Linked DNA regions of Oryctolagus cuniculus. The protein of the gene in region 1 purifies or fractionates together with the protein of each later gene. This does not show direct contact. Links are inferred from orthologs where the notes say so. Each region holds a gene or a part of one and is shown in the gene's direction. Other genes may lie near its edges.

The links.
Region 2: the proteins of ARPC5L (region 1) and CAPZB purify together in Homo sapiens (co-immunoprecipitation; 3 studies listed by BioGRID and IntAct, with this or other methods). This does not show direct contact. The link is inferred for Oryctolagus cuniculus from reciprocal best matches to the Homo sapiens genes ARPC5L and CAPZB.
Region 3: the proteins of ARPC5L (region 1) and ARPC3 purify together in Homo sapiens (affinity purification with mass spectrometry; 7 studies listed by BioGRID and IntAct, counting the BioPlex papers as one, with this or other methods). This does not show direct contact. The link is inferred for Oryctolagus cuniculus from reciprocal best matches to the Homo sapiens genes ARPC5L and ARPC3.
Region 4: the proteins of ARPC5L (region 1) and ARPC2 fractionate together in Homo sapiens (co-fractionation; 7 studies listed by BioGRID and IntAct, with this or other methods). This does not show direct contact. The link is inferred for Oryctolagus cuniculus from reciprocal best matches to the Homo sapiens genes ARPC5L and ARPC2.

What each region holds. Positions count from the first base shown.
Region 1 is NC_091432.1:228,724,355-228,728,840, forward strand, and holds the end of ARPC5L (actin-related protein 2/3 complex subunit 5-like protein), read left to right. Parts: intron 1-980; coding exon 981-1,053; intron 1,054-1,588; coding exon 1,589-1,765; intron 1,766-1,948; exon of another isoform or gene 1,949-2,043; intron 2,044-2,592; coding exon 2,593-2,655; 3' UTR 2,656-3,118; downstream 3,119-4,486. UniProt on the Homo sapiens protein: May function as component of the Arp2/3 complex which is involved in regulation of actin polymerization and together with an activating nucleation-promoting factor (NPF) mediates the formation of branched actin networks.
Region 2 is NC_091438.1:151,245,567-151,250,625, forward strand, and holds part of CAPZB (F-actin-capping protein subunit beta), read left to right. Parts: intron 1-1,228; coding exon 1,229-1,370; intron 1,371-2,147; coding exon 2,148-2,264; intron 2,265-5,059. UniProt on the Homo sapiens protein: F-actin-capping proteins bind in a Ca(2+)-independent manner to the fast growing ends of actin filaments (barbed end) thereby blocking the exchange of subunits at these ends.
Region 3 is NC_091452.1:8,108,520-8,113,578, reverse strand, and holds part of ARPC3 (actin-related protein 2/3 complex subunit 3), read left to right. Parts: intron 1-2,912; coding exon 2,913-2,989; intron 2,990-4,427; coding exon 4,428-4,496; intron 4,497-5,059. UniProt on the Homo sapiens protein: Component of the Arp2/3 complex, a multiprotein complex that mediates actin polymerization upon stimulation by nucleation-promoting factor (NPF).
Region 4 is NC_091434.1:21,103,482-21,108,540, reverse strand, and holds the end of ARPC2 (actin-related protein 2/3 complex subunit 2), read left to right. Parts: intron 1-821; coding exon 822-922; intron 923-1,067; coding exon 1,068-1,168; intron 1,169-3,657; coding exon 3,658-3,682; 3' UTR 3,683-4,122; downstream 4,123-5,059. UniProt on the Homo sapiens protein: Actin-binding component of the Arp2/3 complex, a multiprotein complex that mediates actin polymerization upon stimulation by nucleation-promoting factor (NPF).

The sequences.
Region 1 (4,486 bases):
TGCAGGCCTTCCCTCGACAGCCTGGTGCCACTGAGGGTGCTAACAGGCCCCCGCCCACCCCTCTCCCCCGACCGGCCTTTGCCTACCGTCTCCGGACGATTGGGTTTGCCAGGAGGGCAGGCTTCAGTGAAAAGCATGCGGGCCTGTGTTCCTGTCAGCCCGGGACCCCAGGTTAGAGAAGAGGGGCAGAGCTCATCAGCGCTGCTGGCCTAGGGACCCTGGTTAGGCTGGGGGGGGACTGCAGAGCTGAAGTGCAGGGGCTGGGTCGCCGCCCAGTCTGAAGGCAGCGGGGCGCAGGAGGCCCAGCCCTGTCTGGGGGCTCCGTTCTCAGGGGGCCTCGCCGCACGGCGCAGCAGACACCTGGTCGGGCCTGGTGCTATTTCTGAAGCTTGTGGCTGAAGCCAGTGTTTCACATGATGTAACTCGGTTTAAAATAGGTGTCGCCTTTGGGGACTTAACCCAGATTGTCATTTTCTTTTGCATGCTGGGTATTGGCAAAGAATGTGGTATCAGGATTGCCACTGAGGTTTGGGCGGGGCAGAGTGGCTCCTCTGTGGGCCGAGGGTTCTCACAGACTGGCAGTCGGACCTCTCTGGCCACGGTAGCTCCTGGAAGAGAGAAGCGTTAGTGTCTCTTCATTCCTTTAGTAGTGGAATTGATACAAAGCATCCGTGAAGAATTAGGAGACTTCCGGTTGTGCCTTCCTGCTTCCCTTTGTAGAGAGATGAGAGAGGCCTGTGAGTGCCCGGTGGGGGCAGGTGGGGCGCTGGGCGGGGCCCCTGGGACCTCACTGCAGTTGGCCCTTAGGGGCAGCTGCTTTGTGGGGAGGCAGAGAGGCGCTGCCTGGGGCTCAGGCAGCTCCAGGCTGTGAAGCAGCTGGGCCTCGGGATCCTCGTGAAGCGCCCCGGAGCGGTTCGGATTGGGCCCACGGTGCGCGCGGACACGCTTGGCCTGGCTGACCTTAACGGATGCTGGTGCACAGGGGACATGCTTCGGGCGTTCCACGCCGCCTTGCGGAACTCTCCGGTCAACACCAAGAACCAGGCTGTGAAGGTAAAGGGGCGGGGCAGGGCCCCGTCAGTGTGTGCAGCTCCCGAGGGCCTCCCTCCGGGGACTTGGCCCTGTTCTGCTTCTGTGGGCTCTGAATGCACAGGGAATTTACGGCTTCTCAGAGTCCTGTTCACACGGCCTGGAAAGAGGACAGATTACACTGCTGGCTGCGGCCTCCTCGATGCCGGGACGTGGGTCTTGACGGGGGCCGCAGCGAGTCAGCCTGTGTTCTCGAAGGGGCACCTCCTCCTCCACCGTCCGATCCTGTGGGGCCTCGCGCCTTGCTGGCGCCTGCCCAGGAAAGCACCTCCTCCATGGGAAGTGGAGGAACTCAGTTACTCGGTCATCGACAGGCAGTACTGCGTACTCTGAGCCAGTGGGAGAATCTTAGCCCACTTTTTTTAAAAAGCTGTCTGATCCTAGATCGAGTTAGAAACTGGGCAGTGCTTCTGGCGAGCTCCTCCCACTTGTGCCTACAGTGGGGCAAGGATGGGCCCGGCTGTGGCTCTGGGCCTCACGCGCGCTCTTTCCTCTGCAGGAGCGAGCCCAGGGCGTGGTGCTGAAGGTGCTCACTAACTTCAAAAGCAGCGAAATTGAGCAGGCGGTGCAGTCTCTGGACAGAAACGGCATCGACTTGTTAATGAAGTACATTTATAAAGGGTTTGAGAAGCCCACGGAAAACAGCAGTGCAGTGCTGCTTCAGTGGCATGAAAAGGTACGTGGACATGCCGGCCCCGTGCCCAGCCCCTGCCTCACCCCGGGCTTCAGCAGGCGCCCTGCGAGAGCCGGGGCCAAGCCTCCACTTGGGACCCTTGGTCCCCTCCCCCTCCCAGGGAAGCACCTGGTCGGGCTCTGCTGTCTCTGGTACACTCACTTTATAGCTGCTGCTTTGTGCCAGGCAGGACAGGGGGCCCTTGCTGTGTGCCATGGGTGCAGGTGACCAGGCGTGGTGTGGAGTGGCAGGGATGCTTCCTGGCTGGCTGGCGCGTCATGGTACTTTCTTTGCATTGGTGGAGTCAACTGCTGGGTGAGTGGGGTGGTCCTAGGATGAAGGCTGAGCCTCCTCGCCAGCTTGGAGGGCTTCTGGCCCCGGCCTCAGCAGGCCAGAGCGTGCAGTGGGCAGCAAACACGACAGTCATTTACCATGGCCTCGTCCGCCTGCCGCTCTTCACCTGGGTGCCTTCCGTCAGGCCTGCGTGCCCACTGCCCTGCCCCGCATGCCCCCTTGACAGGGGTCAGGCGCTGGGGGCGGGGCGAGCAGTCCCCCTGCGCGGTGTGGAGGCCACTCCAGTGGGCCGGTGTGCGTTCCTGTGCCTCGGGCAGCGCTGGCAGCCTGGAAGCGAGGGACTTGCTGAGAGAGGAACTGTGGCTCTGCCGGGCGTGCACGGTGCCTGGGCCCGGGCCACTCCTGCTGCCGGAGGCGGTGGTCACGTCGCAGGAGTCCTTTCTCCGAGGGTCGGCACATGCGGTCAGGCTGGGGGGCGTGGGCCCGTCGTGGCCAGCCAGGTCTCACCTGACACATTTCCTTTTCCTGCTCCGCAGGCCTTAGCAGTAGGAGGACTAGGCTCCATTATTAGAGTTCTTACAGCAAGAAAGACTGTTTAAAAGTCAAAGGACTTGTTACCTCGAGAACTTTGGATGCCCAGGCCGGTGCAGAAGGGACTGACAATGGACCACCTTCCTAGGAGCGCCCGACTCGACTCTTCCAGGACTCGTGGCCGCTGAAGTGTATTTTATTTTCAAGGTGGAGGGAGAAATCGTCTGTTTCCCAAATCCTCTGCAGGACCTGATCGTCTCTTTTGCCTTCGTCTACACAGTACTGCAGAACGGGCACTGGGACCGGACAGAGAGGCTGGCCAGCACTGGTCAGGTGGAGCTGTGCGTGCTGCTGGCTGAGGCTGGGGGAGGGATGGTTTGGGCAGGTGCAGACCCAAGGGCTGTGGTGAAAGGGACAGCTTGTGGGAAAACCCGAGTTTGTACAGACCCCTGACCTCCCGGGAAGGTGGGCTCTCGGGTTCGTTGTAAAGTGCCTGCTGCATCAATAAAGCTCTTGGCTTCTTAGTATACACATCGCGGTGTCTTGTCTCTGAAAGGTAGGGTGGGATGGGATGGGAACGAGAGAGTTTGGCTGTTCCAGGAACTCTGGACGGGCTCGAGAGTGTCCCTGCTTGGCCGCTGCGAGCCTCGGCTGAGAGGTTTGCTCAGTAACTGTTGTTCCTCACTCCTTTGACCTGGGTGTCACTCTGGAGCTCACTTAAGCGAATGCAGAGCCAGGCATTTGATGATCAGTCAGGTCTTCAGTCTGTGACTACACTTGGTCTGCGCTGAGGGTGGGCCTGAACACCCCTGGTTCCCAGCTCCGGCTCTGCTGGGTGCAGCAGCAGCGTGAAGCATCAGCAGGTTTTCTTTTCTTTAAGTATTTATTTGAGAGGGAGAAAGAAGCTGAATGAGAGCTTCCATTTGCTGCTTCACTCCCAAGTCCTGCCGTGGGCCCAAGCTCAATGCAGGCCCCCACGGGGGTGGCCAGGACTCAACAACTGTTCAGCATCGCTTCCGCCTCCCAGGGTGTGCACAGCAGGAAGCCAGAACTGGTAGCGGAGCTGGGATTCAAACCCAGGCACTATGGGATCTACTGTGGGATGTGGGGTCCCAAGCTCCTGCCCGGACAAGGGTTCTTAAAAGAACTAAAAGCCGGGCACAGGGAACAGCCAGTGGGTGCGAAGGAGGTGATGTAACCACTCACAGCAAGCCCTCTTTTCCAGCTCACGGGAGAGCTCTGCGCTGTCAGAGGTAGGGACCCGAATGCCTCTGCAAGCTCCTCTGACCAAAGCACCCCACCCCTCCCCGCTTTGTAGAATGACTGTGGTCTTTGGGCGGTAGGACTAGGCTGCTGGCTGCATTAAATTACACGTTCACCCAAACCTGGCTGAGTGGGGAGGGGTTCTTTCTGAAAGACAGTTCTGTAGCCCTTGAAGTACTGGAAACAAGAGACAATGTACTAGCAGCAAACCAGGCAAACAAGCACTGAGACAGCAAACCATCCAGGAAAACCCCCGGCAACTGCATCGGAATTGAAGCGCTTTAATCAAAAAGTGTATTGCACCACAAGTGAGTTTTCTATAGCAGTCTCAGGAGTACCATCCTATTTACAACACTGAGTGAGATCAAGAGCAACGTCCATAGAAAGGGCTATGTATACTGCCTCATACAGGACATTTTATACAAGTGAAAGTGCACGAAATCACTTAGAATGTTTACTCCATTCTTCCCCTTAAAGCTGAGGGAAATTCAACATGCAGGAGGAACCCTGAATCCGAGCAACTCCTCCCTAAGGGGACACACTCCTAGGCCCCAGGACACCTGAGGCGGGGGTGACCCGCCCCCGGGGCAGGAGAAGCCGGGCGGAGCAGACCCTGCCTCCCAAGTGTTACAGCTG
Region 2 (5,059 bases), on another chromosome or scaffold:
CTTGCTGCTTGTTAGCATCGCCAGTGCTGGGAGTGTCTCATCCTGATAGCTTTGAAATACAGGTCACAGACACCTGTTAAGTTTTAGTCCTCAATTTAAGTGGTGAACACAGTGATCATTTGCCAGGCGTCTACCTTATTAGTTTATTTTTATTTCTCAATTGCTCTGTAAAGGTGGTTTTGTCCCTGAGACCCATGTGCACCCAGCTCATCTCTGGCAGCCATCACTAAGCCACTGTTGGGTAGATAAGGACTTCCACAGAGCTGTAACCAGGTGCTGGCGCTGGTCCCACGTGTGCCTTACTCCTGAGCCCATGACCCTGCCGCGGGCCTGGGGGCGTACCTCCCCGCGTCCAGGTCTGAAGTCCTGTCCACACGGCGCTCCCTGGTGGCAGCCTTGAGAACAGAGGTGGGGAGTGTCCGCCCCACAAGCCACGTAAAGCCCATAGGCAGGACTCAAATTCAGCAGATCTGTAGCAGGCTAATTTTTAAGTGGGTAATTCTGTATAGCCTGCGACTGAAGTTGCAGATACCCAACGGCCCTTGGTAGAGAAGAGACTCCCCACCCTGCTCTGGAATGTCACTGTGCCCAGGCCGAGTGGGTCGGAGGCGCCAGGGGCATTGCGGTGAGGACTGTGCTGGCCATGAGGGACGAGCACCCAACTCGGGGGTCTCCCTCACAGCGGCCTCAGCCCTGCGGAACAGGCGGCTTTGGGCTCTTGGATTTGGGGTCCCGCCTGATTGGCCTTTTCTTTCCGTCCCATTTGTTCGTGACTGGGAATTTTTCCATATCGATTGAGATCAGAGGAGGAGGCTCCAAGCTGGACCCAGCCCTTCACTGAGTCTTTCCCAGGCTCTGGAGGAGTTTGCTGCTCCCATCTGTCCTGCAAAGAGCCGTCTAGAAGAAGGAAACTGGGGCAGCAGCTGCTCCAGGAGCCGTGTCGCACCCTGCGCTGCGTCCCCCGTCTGGGAGGAATCTGAGTCCCTGAGAAGGCAGAAGGGGTGTCAGAGACCACAGAGCCGCAGCCCTGAGACCACAGAGCCACAGCCCTGAGCCCACGCTCTCCCCGCGTCCCTCCCCAACCTGGGGCACCAGGACACAGCCAGGGATCCACCCCGGGACCTGTGCAGGGTTGTTCATCCCACACTGCCAGGCGAATCGCAGCTGAGGGGCAGCCGGGACCTGGACTGGCCATCTGTCTCCTGGCTCACGGGCCTGTTTCCTGCAGGTATTTTGAAGGTGGTGTCTCATCTGTCTACCTCTGGGATCTGGATCATGGCTTTGCGGGAGTGATCCTCATAAAGAAGGCTGGAGATGGATCAAAGAAGATCAAAGGCTGCTGGGATTCCATCCACGTGGTGGAAGTGCAGGTACAGCCCCCGCAGCAGCCGGCAGCCGGGCCTCCGGGTGCAGCTTTGGCGCTGGGGACACTGATGAAAACCCCTGCTAATTCCTAGAAACACCCCAAAGCCGATTGGATGCAGATCAGTGAGGACTGAGTAGTCGTGGATCATAAGGTCCCAGCGAACTCGGCGTACGCGGTTACAGATGCAGCCCTTTCAAAAACAGCGTGGGGTGGGTGTGCGGCACGGCAGTCAGGATGCGACTTAGGGTCCTGCGCCCCGTAGTGGAGTGCCTGGGTCCTCCCCGCTCTGCTTCCAGTTCCAGCTTCTTGCTAACGCACACCCTGGCAGGCTGGAGTACCTGGGTCCCTGCCACCCACATGAGAGACCCAGATTCAGTTCTCAGCTTCTGGCTTCGGCTGTGCCCAGCCCTGGGTGTTGAAAGTGGGGAATAAATCTCTCACGCCATCTTTTGGCTTTTCAAATAAAATAATTAAAAACATTTCGGGGAGTCCCTCCCTTCCTCCCCCCCCCCCCTCTCTAGAAAGCTACAGATCTCCCCGTTGGTGTTTCTCTCTCCAGGTTATCTGTAACAGCCTGGGCTGTGCCTGGCCAAAGCCAGGAACTGGCACTCAGTCCAGGTCTCCCACTTGGGTGTCCCTTGCTGCCTCCCAGGGCAGATGCGAGGAGGGAGCTGGATCCAGCATAGAGTACGGGCATGCCAGATGCCCACCCCAGTGGCCATGGCTGAGGAGGGAGCACTTGAGCGTTCCTCGGGCTCTGATCTCTCGTCCTCCCCTGCAGGAGAAGTCCAGTGGCCGCACTGCCCACTACAAGCTGACTTCCACGGTGATGCTGTGGCTGCAGACCAACAAATCCGGCTCGGGTACCATGAACCTCGGAGGCAGCCTTACCAGACAGGTAGTGTCTCCCTTCACTCAGCCCAGCGCACACTCCAGCTCCGCCCCCGAGCGGCCATGGCTGCCTCGCAGCGCTCGTGGGCTGCACTCCCTCGGCCCCCTCTCTGGCCATGAGCAGCCCTGTGGTCCGGTCAGCCCTCGGCTTTGTCAGGAGCTTGTTAGAAACACAGAGCTCTCAACCCTGACCGGTCAGCTTCTCCTGACTTCCGCTCTCGATGCTATTGGTGAAGCGTCAGAACAGATAAGCTACCTTTGGCAAGCCTCACCCATCCTGAGAGAAGGCATTCACCTGTGCCCAGTGCAGGGCGGCAGGACGCTTGGGGTGGGGCAGAGGGGAAGCCCAGACCCAGCCCACCCCAGCCTGGGAGGGAGCTGCCTTCGCCCGCCAGCGCGGATGCTGTGTTGGTGGAAGTGCGGTGGCCTTGGGCGTCCAGGGGAGCTCTCTTCTCCCGTCCCTGTTCCCGTTCTCGTCCGGCCTGCTCTCCTGGACAAGGGTTCCTTTTAACATCAAAAATCTTTTCAGTAAGATAACTGTACTCTTAGTTAGTTGCTGTTGATAGAAAAAATAACATAGAGCAGAAAGGATTGATTCGGTAACCCTCTGAAGTGGATTTGTAGTCACGCGGTTGAGACGGTGCCTGGGCGTGGCATACCTGAGGTGCAAGGGCCGTCCCACCGGGCTGGAGGCTGCCAGGTTCCTGGGGTCCCCGTCTGGCCTCTGGCACCAGGGCTCACAGGGCAGGGCCTGTCCTCTCATGTGGGATGGCTCTTGCCTTCTGGGGACCAGTGACACGGGAGGGGCGACCAGCCCTGCCACAGGCTCCTCCCCCACTCCGGCCACCTGGCAGTCGGGTGCAAAATCCTGGCTCCGTATCCGGAGACTACTTCCTGCATCACTTACCGCTCTGCACTGTTTATAGTTCCACCCGGTCTACAGTGACCTGGACAAATATTTAGTCCTCGGCCTTCCTAGTAGTTTAAATCAGAGCTGTCAGCCCACGGCCAGCGCCTGGTTCCGGCTTGGCGTGCAGGGTGCTCCTGCCAGACCAGACTCGGGCCTGACGAGCAGCTGTCCTCAGAACACCTCAGGGGGCCACCGGCCTGCTCTTGCCTCTGCTCTGGGAGCTTTAGCGAGAAGACCCTGACTCCTGTCGTCATGTAATCACCTGCGGTGCGTGGCAGCTGGGGCCGTCTCCAGTGTCGGTCACTAACTGGGGGGTGCAGTGAGGTCAGTGAGCCTGAGTAGATGGCACAGATTCTGAGCAGCAGGCGACGCAAGGGCCGCGGGCTTCAGCCGTGCGTCCCGGGCTCAGCCTTGGCCAGGTGCCTCTGGTTGCCTTGGCAGGTAGGGGGCTGGAGGAGCGGCAAAGAGGTTCCCGGCGGATGGAGGAAGCCAGGGAGCGTGTGCAGACCCTGTGTGGGGCCGGCTCCCCAGGGAGGGTGCGCAGACCCTGTGTGGGGCCGGCTCCCCAGGGAGGGTGCGCAGACCCTGTGTGGGGCCGGCTCCCCAGGGAGGGTGCGCAGACCCTGTGTGGGGCCGGCTCCCCAGGGAGCGTTGCAGACCCTGTGTGGGGCCGACTCCCCAGGGAGGGTGCGCAGACCCTGTGTGGGGCCGGCTCCCCAGGGAGGGTGCGCAGACCCTGTGTGGGGCCGGCTCCCAGCAAGGACAAGCGCAGGAGAGCCAGCGTTCCCATTGAACAGGGAGGAAGCAGGTTCAGGCTGGTAAGGGCCTCTCCCATGCTGACTCAAGCAATAAGAGGCAAAGCCTGGATTTGACCCTAGATTTGTTGACTTCCCCTCACCGCCCCCGAAAAAAACCCACTGCTTTCTGCCACGCCACACTTTTGATTTTTGGGGGGGGGGGCCATACTAGTTTTTTGTTGTTGTTGTTTAGTTGGTTTTTTGGGGTTTTTGGGGTTTTTTTTTGAAGATTTATTATTTATTTGAAAGGCAGAGTTATAGAGAAAGAGGTCTTCCATCCTCTGGTTCACTCCCCAGATAGCTGCAGTGGCCGGAGCTACACCGATCCGAAGCCAAGAGCTTCTTCCAGGTCTCCCACGCGGGTGCAGGGGCCCAAGGACTTGGGCCATCTTCTGCTGCTTTCCCAGGCCATAGCAGAGAGCTGGATCAGAAGTGGAGCAGCTGGGACTTGAACCAGCACCCCTATGGGATGCCGGCACTGCAGGCGGCTTTACCCGCTACGCCACGCGCCGGCCCCGCTTTTGGTCTTGATCTGTCCCCGGTGGCTGATGTTCAGCAGATGCTAAATAAACATTCGAAGGGAAATACTCTGAATATGAAGCTCAACAGAGGCAGAAGCTGCTGAGCCAGCTGCCCGAGCACTTGTGCCAAGCGGCTGCTGTGGCCCGTGGTGTCGGGCGGGCCTGTGCGGGGCCCACGGCGGACCCCAGGGCGAGGTCGCCCCGAGAGGTGCTGAACAGCACCGCCCTCGGCTCCCTCCCGCGGCTGCCTTTGACGGCAGGAAGCAAGTTGTCCGGCACGAGACGCGCTGGCTCCGGAGGTGGTGAGGAGGGGTTCCGGACCAGGTGTGCCTTTGTCAGAAGGTGGCTCTGCCAGCCGGCATGGGGCAGGGGCTGCAGGCAGAGGCTGCTGGTGTCGGTGTCGTCCATGAGAGCAGTGACGAGGGCCTGGGCTGGGCAGCCCTGGGCGGCCGGAGAGGAAGGAGCCAGTGAGATCCCTGAGGAGACAAGGATCAGCCGAGGAGGTGGGAGATAACAGCACAGAAAGAGGTCGAGGCAGGAGTACAGAGGGCAGCGCCGAGTGGGAGACGTTTCG
Region 3 (5,059 bases), on another chromosome or scaffold:
CAAATCATGTGGGAGACATTCTGTTTTTTTATTTTATTTATTTTTATTTTACAAGCCAGTGTAAAGTTTTTTATACTGTGTATCATAAGGCAAAATTATTTAAAGTTAATACTTTATTTAAAATATTTATTTATTTATTTATTTGAAAGGCAGAGTTACAGAGAGGCAGAGACAGAAAGAGTGAGGGAAAGAAACGTTCCATCTACTGGTTCACGCCCCAAATGGTTGCAATAGCCAGAGCTGAGCTGATCCGAAGCCAGGAGCTTCTTCTGGGTCTCCCACGTGGGTTCAGGAGCCCAAGCACTTGGGCCATCTTCTGCTGCTTTCTCAGGCCATAGCAGAAAACTAGATTGGAAATGGGACAGCTAGGACTTGAACCGGCACCCATATAGGATGCCAGCACTGCAGGCGGCGGCTTTACCCGCTATGTCACAGCACCGGTCCCAGTTAATACATTTTTATTTAAGGAATTCCCTATGTTGCAGTTCCTTCCACTGTCCATCAAAGCTGTCTGCTTGGTTCTTTTAAGTCTTCAAGCTCTTAGAACAAGTGATGCTTCATCCACAGTTGTCTTATCAGCCCAAAATTACCTGGCCTTTGTAATCTTCCTTGAGTTACATAATGACAACTTAAAAATTCCCCACCTAGAATCTTTGGAATATAATTTATCTTCAAGCAATTTATTCTTGGGTCTTTTTACAGAGTAGATAGATTTGCCTGATTCTTAATTTCTGATACCCTCTAATACATGAGTAAGTTCGTATTTCCTCCTGAGTCATCACTCAGAAATGAAACTATCTGTGGGCTATTCCCATACATTAAGATACTCATTGGGGCCGGCGGCGCAGCTCAATAGGTTAATCCTCCGCCTGCGGCGCCGGCACCCCAGGTTCTAGTCCCGGTTGCTCCTCTTCCACTTCCAGGCCAGCTCTCTGCTGTGGCCCGGGAGTGCAGTGGAGGATGGCCCAAGTGCTTGGGCCCTGCACCCGCATGGGAGACTGGGAGAGGCACCTGGCTCCTGGCTTTGGATCAGCATGGTGCATAGACCGCAGCGTGCTGGCCGCAGTGGCCGTTGTGGGGTGAACCAACGGAAAAGGAAGACCTTTCTCTGTCTCTCTCACTGTCCGCTCTGCCTGTCAAAAAAAAAAAAAAAAGATACTCATTGAACTCCAGACACGCTCTCAAGATAAAAATCTTGGGCTGACACCAAGGCTCAACAGGCTAATCCTCCGCCTAGCGGCGCCGGCACCCCGGGTTCTAGTCCCGGTTGGGGCATTGGATTCTGTCCCCGTTGCCCCTCTTCCAGGCCAGCTCTCTGCTGTGGCCTGGGAGTGCAGTGGAGGATGGCCCAAGTCCTTGGGCCCTGCACCCCATGGGAGACCAGGAGAAGCACCTGGCTCCTGCCTTCGGATCAGCGCGGTGCGCCGGCCGCAGCGCACTGGCCACAGCAGCCATTGGAGGGTGAACCAATGGCAAAAGGAACACCTTTCTCTCTGTCTCTCTCACTGTCCACTCTACCTGTCAAAAAAATTAAATAAATAAATAAATAAAAGGATAAAAATCTTAAGGGGTCGGCACTGCGGCATAGTGGGTAAAGCCACAGCCTGCAGTGCCAGCATCCCTTAAGAGCACCGGCCCCTGCTCCTGTATGGGAGACCCAGATGAAGTTCCTGCCTCTTGGCTCCTGGCTTTGGCCTGGACCAGCTGGCTGTTGCGGCCATCTGATGAGTAAACCAGCAGGTGGAAGATTCTCTCCTTCTCCCCTACCCCCGTAACTCTTTCAAATAAATCTTTAAATAAAAAAACAACAACAAAAAAAAAACCTGGTGCTGGCGCTGTGGCATAGTGGGTAAAGCTGCCACCTATAGTGCCATATGGACACTGGTCCAAGTCCCGCTGCTTCACTTCCGATCCAGCTCTCTGCTGTGGCCTGGAAAAGCAGTAGAAGATGGCCCAAGTCCCTAGGCCCCTGACCCCACATGGGAAACCCAGAAGAAGCTCCTGGCTTCAGATTGGCCTAGCTCTGGCTGTTGGCAGCCATTTGGGGAGTGAACCTGCAGATAGAAGTCCTCCCCCGCACCCCCCCCCCCCACCTCTCTCTAACTCTGTCTTTCAAATAAAACAAATCTTTTTTTTTTGGACAGAGTGGACAGTGAGAGAGACAGAGAGAAAGATCTTCCTTTTCCATTGGTCACCCTCTAATGGCCACTGCAGCCGGCACACCGCGCTGATCCGAAGCCAGGTGCTTCTCCTGGTCTCCCATGGGGCGCAGGGCCCAAGCACCTGGGCCATCCTCCACTGCACTCCCGGGCCACAGCAGAGAGCTGGCCTGGAAGAGGGGCAACCGGGACAGAATCCGGTGCCCCAACCGGGACTAGAACCCGGTGTGCCAGCGCCGCAGGTGGAGGATTAGCCTATTGAGCCACGGCACTGGCCAAACAAATCTTAAGAAATAAAAATTAACTACATACTTTATTTTCTAGAAATTGTTTTACAGGTTTTATTTTAATAGCTTCATTTAAAAAAATTTTTTTATTTGAAGTGCAGAGAGAGATTTCCCATGTGCTGTGTTTCATCTCCAAATGCCTGCAGCAGCCAGGACTGGGCTAAGCCAAAGCCAGGAGCCTAGAATTCAGTTCTGGTCTCCCTTGAGGGTAGTAGGGACCCAGCCGCTCCCGGGAAAAGGCAGGGAGCAGAATGGAGAGACACAGGCCTTCTGATACAGGATGTGGGCGTCCCAAGCAGTAGCTAACTGCTGTGCCACGTATGTGCTCCCTGCTTTAATTTTATTCACCTATAGAATTGTTGACAGTTGATCCTGGATTTATTTTTTTTATGGTTTTTACAGGCTAAATTACAGTTTGCAGTTGACTGATTTTTTCTTCCCTCCTTCCCCTTGTTATCCTGCTTAGCAAAAGATACGGATATTGTGGATGAAGCCATCTATTACTTCAAGGCCAATGTCTTCTTCAAAAACTATGAAATTAAGGTAAATGACAGAGCTTTTAATATTTCACTTTAATTTTCTGATTAGGGTAATCTCTACACTGCAATGAGTTGCCATGAAGAGAAAATGCGATGTGAAATTGTGATTCTTAAATTCTAGAACACTGTCTGGTATTAGATTCTGTGAAGATACTGGTTTCTTTTTCTTCCTCCAAAGTCTGTACCAGGGTTGACAGACTACAGCCTGAGGACTGAATCTGGCCCATGGCTTCTCGTAAATAAAATGTCATTGGAACACAGCCTGGCCCTCAAAGCCTAACTTGTTTGGTTTCTGGCCCTTTGTAGAGAAAATTTGCCAATTCTGGTGTAAAGACATTTTAGCATTAATTTAGCACCTACTGTGTGCCAGGCCTGGTGGGTAGCATTAGCCCACAAGTGAGAAATCCTCCTGGCTGTGTAATTTTGTTAGTATACGTGTGTGCCCTGAACCTGAGAAGGGGAAGTAGAGACTTGAGCGACCCTGGTCCTGCCCCACTCTCCCCTCTCTCCTCAGTTCCTGTGACGAGGGAAGGAAGGGGAGGGTCACGGACGAGGAGGAGGGAAAATGGAAACCAGGTTTCCTGAGCTCTGCTCTCCAGGTTACCAGGAACGGCGGTGAGATGAACTTCAGCCTCCTCCTTGCCAACTTTGACCTTTTGAAATCAAGCAGGATGTAAAATCTTTATTTATAGATTCCTGATCTATAAATTGTAGTCCAAACATTTTGTGATATTAACAGAGTGTTTTCTTTGTCAAATACATGGCCCACATGCTGTGTTTGTAGTAGGTGTAAATAAATATTATTCTACCACACTTTATTTCCTGGTCTTAAAAACAGGGAAACGTGTAGGTTTCTTTTTGTTTTTTCAGCTATAAATACGAGCAAAATGTGATCTCACGTCTGCCACATTGGATCAACATCCGTTCGTCTTCTCCACTTCTCCTTTTGCTTAGCTCAGGACGCCAGGCTTAGGGAGTTCTTCAAGAACATGTCACACGTGAAGTAATTGCTTCCTCTTTTAGAGTAATGAATGTTTCTGTTCTTGGCAGAGATCCTGAAATGAAAGGGTTTTTAAAAATTGGCCAGCCATATGGTGCACCTCAGGTTATTCAGGCAGCCTTGTTCATTCTCCTTCCTACGCAGGGTGAGGGGCTGTTGGCACAGCTCCCCGGGACCGGGGGTGAAGGGAGCTGAGAACAAGAGCCTCCACAGAGCTCGGGTGGAAGCCCTGGCCCTGCCCGCGTGCACAGAGGGAAGCCTGACTGGGAGAAGGGGCCTCGTGTGCCGCAGCAGTATATGTGTGTGCCCTGAACCTGAGAAGGGGAAGTAGAGTCCAGGCTTTCAGTAGATCATCCGGAGATGAAGATTGATTCCATTTGTTGGACGGAACTGCTAGGTTTTCGTCTGTACTGTTTGCTGAATGTTCTTTTCCTCTCTGTAGAATGAAGCCGACAGGACCCTGATATATATAACTCTCTACATCTCTGAGTGTCTAAAGAAACTCCAAAAGGTAATGGATTAAGCTCGGGAGAGTGCCGACAGTTGTTTATACTCCCAGTCGTTTTTTGTGTGTCGCGACTCCAAGGACAGCTAGGAAATACTCCCTTAGACTTGGACATGATCTGAGGAGGAAGACCCGAGTGTAGCTCTCTTAATTCCCAGTGTGAGTGACTGTGTTTTAAGCTGCATACGTGTGTGTTTGCAAGACGCAAACCTTGACAGAGAGACTCCGTTAAGCCCTGGGCTCAGGTGTTCTTCACCTGCAGACCAATGACTCAGGGGTCCGTGAATTTGAGTGGGGAATAAGCTGGGTTTTTCTTTCCATCAACCTTTAGCTGAAGCGAAGCACTTACTTCCGTTGTTAATGTTGGCAGTAGCCCCCAGTAGTATCAGGAGTGCCGGTGACTTTCTCTCACAGAATTCATGCTGTTTCCATTTCACATTAAACTCAGAACTTTGTTTACACTCCTCACTACTTCAAAATGGAGTTATTAGGCCCCATGCCAGAGTTTGGTGAATTAATAAAAGCAGGTGTGAGACCATGTCATATATATATATTTACTTATTATTATT
Region 4 (5,059 bases), on another chromosome or scaffold:
TGTTGGATTGAGTGACTTGATGCTGTGTTTAATCTTTACTCTTTTGGGGTTTTATTCCATAGTTTTATCTTTGAGGTTGGGGTGCATCTTGCAGTTCGTGGTGTGTCGCGGTGTAACTTGCAGCATTCTCTCTCTGGTCCGGGAAGTCGCGGTAAACTTCCCGCCATTTGCATCTCAGATTCTTTGAAATGCAGGTTTCTGCTGGCCAGGCAGAGTGACACAGGAGCGCCACCCTTTCTTAGGAGGCCTTCCTTTTCAGTTCAGCAGAACCTCACAGGCTCGGGCGCGTGCTGTTAGTGAGACCAGTGAGCAGAGGCAGAGGTGCAGAGCATTCCAGAGGCCACAGGGGAGGAGGACTGCGCTGTGACGGCACGGGCCTGTGGGCAGCCCTGCTCGGCACCAGCCAGAGCACCAGCTGGCCTGCCAAGAAGCCCTGCGTCCTCCTTCCCTGGTGTGGGATACCCTCTGGAATCTGTTCTCTGTACTTCAGTGAGGACCCTGGCTCCTAGGGTAAACCGTGAGCGTCCCTGGTGGCTGGCAGACGGGGAAGACACTGTAGTACACGCACCACAGAATCTAGACCCAAAATGAACATGCGGCTCAGGCCTTTTCTCTCCCATGAGCCCCTCTGTGCTCATTGGTGCCTCCCCTGGTTGTGCTGCTTATCCCTTCTTGCGTCAAGCAAAAGCCCTGGACAGAGCCTGGGAGTACTGCAACAGGTAGATTGTGGCTAAGCAGGGAAACACTGCAGTTGACTTGCGGCTACTGTTTGGCCCCACCCTGACCCTGACGCCTTGTCTGTGTGTCACCCCTCCCCCCAGTGCTGTTCCCTCGCCACACCAACGCCAGTGCCCGAGATAACACCATCAACCTGATCCACACGTTCCGGGACTACCTGCACTACCACATCAAGTGCTCTAAGGTGAGGGGGCACCAGGGGCTTAGTTCCTGTGACCCAGGGCTTTGCCTGCCAGAGCAGAGAGCAGAAGTTGTCCTTGAAGTCAAGAATCTTAGCTACACAGTTCAGAACAGGGCTGGGCTTCAGTATCTGTTGTGTTTGCTCCCAGGCCTATATTCACACACGTATGCGGGCAAAAACGTCTGACTTCCTCAAGGTGCTGAACCGTGCGCGCCCAGATGCTGAGAAGAAAGAAATGAAAACAATCACGTGAGTCGGGCAGGACCACCTCCCCCTCCTGTGCTCACCAAGAAGTGAATAGTGGGTGTCAGAGGCCTGGTCCTGCTGGTGTCTGGGTGGTGGGTACCTGGAGGCTACGGCTCCCGGACAGACTGGAGATGGGAGAGTCAGGTTTTCACTATTGCTGGCCGGAATGGGTTTCCTTGTTTCCACTTCTTTTTGCGCTGTGAGAAAGTCAGCCAGGAAAACAACAGAGGCTTCATTTTTCTAGGAAAAGCTTGTCTTTAGGCCCGAGCGGAGAGATCAGTCTTGTCCTCGTGGTCTTCCTGGAGAAATGGAGGAAGTTGCTTTCGGTCCCTTAGTCAGTAGGCCTGGAACAGCAGCCCCTGAGTGTTCTTCCTGGCCTGCTGCTCAGCCGGAAGGTAATCAACACAGAGAGGAGGGGCGACGCGAGGAGCGCTGCCCAGGACAGGCAGAGCTGTAAACTGTGTGGCTGTATAAGCAGGGGGCCAGCATGGCCAGCGGCCCAGAGGGGTCAGTCTCTGGGAACAGGGCCATGTCGTGGTCTCCTCGTGGTGACATTCACAGCCCTGCTCTCCTTATCTACGGTAGTGGCACTTAAACCTCCTTGCTTTTGTGCCCGTGGAAGTTATTTTGCTTTTGTGATCAGCAAAGCACCCCTCACAGCCCAAGCCCTCTCTCCTGGCCCAGAAGCCTCTTCCACCAGGCTCGTTTCCACTGCCTTTCGAAAGGTGGAGAGAGGGCTCTGGCAGAGTACCTGAGCAGTAGGTCAGGGTTTTCAGCCCCAGAAACATGAGACGTTTGTGCCCAGCAGGTGGAGTCATCGTGACTTCTTTAGGCGAAGGCCTTTCTCCGTATTAGCTCTGTGCCCGCCCCGCAGAGCCTTGGGAACGGCAATCAGCCGGCAGATAGAGCCTCTGCCGAGGGAGCTGTCCACACGCCATGTGACACACGGCAGCTTCCTTCCTCCTCCGCAGCTTCTTGGCATCTCCTAACATGGCCAAAGCCGGGACCAGGGTGGGAGGCGAGGGGGTGCGCCCTGGGCCGCCTACTCCTGCTGCCCCTCCAGAACCTTCTCTCCAGCCTGGCATGTGTAGGTCCCCTTTCCCCGCCTGCTCCTACGGGAGTGCTTTTCTTGCTAGGCACCATTTTGGTGGCCTCGAGTAGAAGGCAGCCACTTTCATACTGATTCCAGGGCCTGGGAGAGCCTAGGCGGTGAACCAACAGCTCAGTATAGCCTGGGGGAAACTTGACCTGGGCAGCCTGTATAACCAGAGAGGAAAGAGGAGGAGGGAGGCAAACAGCGGCACCCACCCTGGAGGTCAGATCATGTTACTTACAGGGGATAGATGTCGGTCCCGGGCTAGACAAGCTAGGACTCCAACACCAGAACAAGAGGAGTCTGCAGGAGCATGGACCCGGTGAAACTGGGAGACCCAGGGCCCTGGAGCAGAAGCTAAGCCTAGGTCAGCACTCGTCAGCGCTCTGCCCACTGTGGAACCCTCGGAAGCTCTTCATCTGCGGGCAGCATAATCCAAGCGTTTCCTTTGGGGGCAAGGGAGACTTCCAGGGCAGGCAGAATGGCACGCCCTTATTTTTGCTCTGATTCCCCTCAGTTCTCAGCTCTCACTTCCAGGCGGCTTTAATAAGTACCCATAGCTACCAGTTACCAGCCTGGCTCTGGGAACCAGCTGGTCCTCCGTCGGAAATACGAGGTGCAATGGGATACAACTGCAGCCTAGAAAACCAGCAACTGTTCCCTGGGCCAGTGTGGCCAGTGTGGACAACAGAAGGCCGCTGACCTTTGTGTTGATTACGTATTGCAGAGAGAGCTGCTGTGTGTCTGCTGGCTCACTCAGGTGCCTACAACAGCCAGAGTTGGGCCAAGGCTAAGCCAGCAGCTGGAGCACAATCCAGGTCTCCTCCTGCCCAGGGTGACAAGAACCTAACTACCTGAGCCATCACTGCTGCCTCTCAGAGTCTGCTTTGTCAGAAAGCAGAAGTCAACCCAGGAATCAAACCAGGCAGTGTGCGGGACGTGAGCATCCCAACTGCTAGACTAAATGCTCCCTCCACCTGGAGCTTGTGAGGATTGCAGTGGTAGAAGGTTCAGGAACTGCTCTGTGGGGGCCCTAAAAGGTATAGGCTGCATAGGAGGAGCCCGAGCTGACTGGTAGATACTAGGAAGACGGTTGAACCCAGTCCAGTCGGAACTCAGGGACACCCACGCCATCCAGAATGGACATGCGGTTCTCCCGTCTTACTGATACAGTTCATTCCTTCTGGGAGACGGGGCCTGGTGCTCAGGGCATCTGGTCAGCAGGAAGAGGCCGTGAAGCTGGTCTGTGAAAGCCGGATCAGCCTCGCCTGTGGCCCCAGGGCCTCTGCCTGAGGCACCGAGCCCTTTCCACCTCCTGTTCAGTGTCATTGGGGTCCCATCCCTAGTGGAAGGAAAGGTCAGCCGGAAACCAGCCTTCACTCTTACTCTCCTTTTCAAGGGGGAAGACGTTTTCATCCCGCTAACTCTTGGGAACAGGAGGAGGAAGCGGCTGGCGACTGAAGGCTGGAACACTTGCTACTGGATAATCGTAGCTTTTAATGTTGCACCTCTTCAGGTTCTTAAGGGATTCTCTGTTTTGGTTCCATTTTGTACACGTTTGGAAAATAATCTGCAGAAACGAGCTGTGCTTGCAAGGACTTCATAGTTCCCAAGAATTAAAAAAAAAAAAAAGGAAAAAAAGAATTCCACTTGATCAACTTAATTCCTTTTCTTTTATCTTCCTTCCCTCACTCCCCTCCCTTCAACCTCTTTTCCAAGCTCTTCCGCTTTGCAATATGTTACTGGTAATGAGTTGCAGGATAATGCAATCTTAACTTGTTTTCTCCTAAGTGTTTGAGTTCAAAACTCCTGTATCTAAAGAAATACGGTTGGGGTCATTAATAAAGAAAATCTTTCTATCTTATGTGAGAATTTGCTGGGTTTCTGGACTGAGTCCAAAAGAGAGGGGAGGAAAGACAAATAGACTGCGCTGCACTTGAACCTGCAAACCTGAGCTGGAGTTCAGGGTCAGGAGCTCATCAGGTCTAGAGCCTCACTGCCCTGCAGGAGAGAAGAACGAGCTAGCGAGCTGTAAACAGCCATGTGCTACCTGGACAGGCGGTGGTGGGCAAATTAAAGTGCTTTCCAGTACTTCCCAAAACGTGTCCCATTAGCATGGTTCTGTGGGACATTGAAGGGTATCAGGTGTGGATCTGACGCCAACAGACCGGCCAGTCTCCCTTTCTCACACAGCAGCTGCAAGCCCGGCCCTCCACAGAACTCTGGGAAAAGCAGCACCCTGCAGAGCGCTCTCGCCCGCGGGACTCTGGCCCCAGAAATCGAATTGGTTCAGAGAATTTGCTTGGTGGAAAAGAGGTAGCGCTGGGAGAATGTCAGGGGCGCCTGAAATGGTCTGAAAGCTGCCCTAACGTTTGTCCTTATTTGAAAGAGAAACATCAAATAGCGTCTGCCTTACTACTTTTTCGTTTTCGCCATCCAGGGCAGTGTGTTTCATGCTGGTCCAAGAACCAGTACTGCAGTGTGCATTCACTGGACTGCATCACAACCAGCGATTCCAATTGCTCAACTTTTGATCTTGAAGTAACCGTGGATTCACAGGTGGTCGTCAGAAAGACTGCAGAGACCCTGTGTAAACTTTCTTCCTGTGGGAGCACCTGTGTCACCACAGTGCACGGTCCCACTCCAGGGGTGCGACGCTGGCATCGTCCACCCACCTTTGTCCTTTGTGTGTGTGGTGGTTTCTGTGCGTTTTCGTAGATGAGAGCACAGGACACCTATGAAGGGGTAGATGTTGGTTTGGAAACACGTTTTAGTTCCATCAGCGCACCAGGACTGGATGG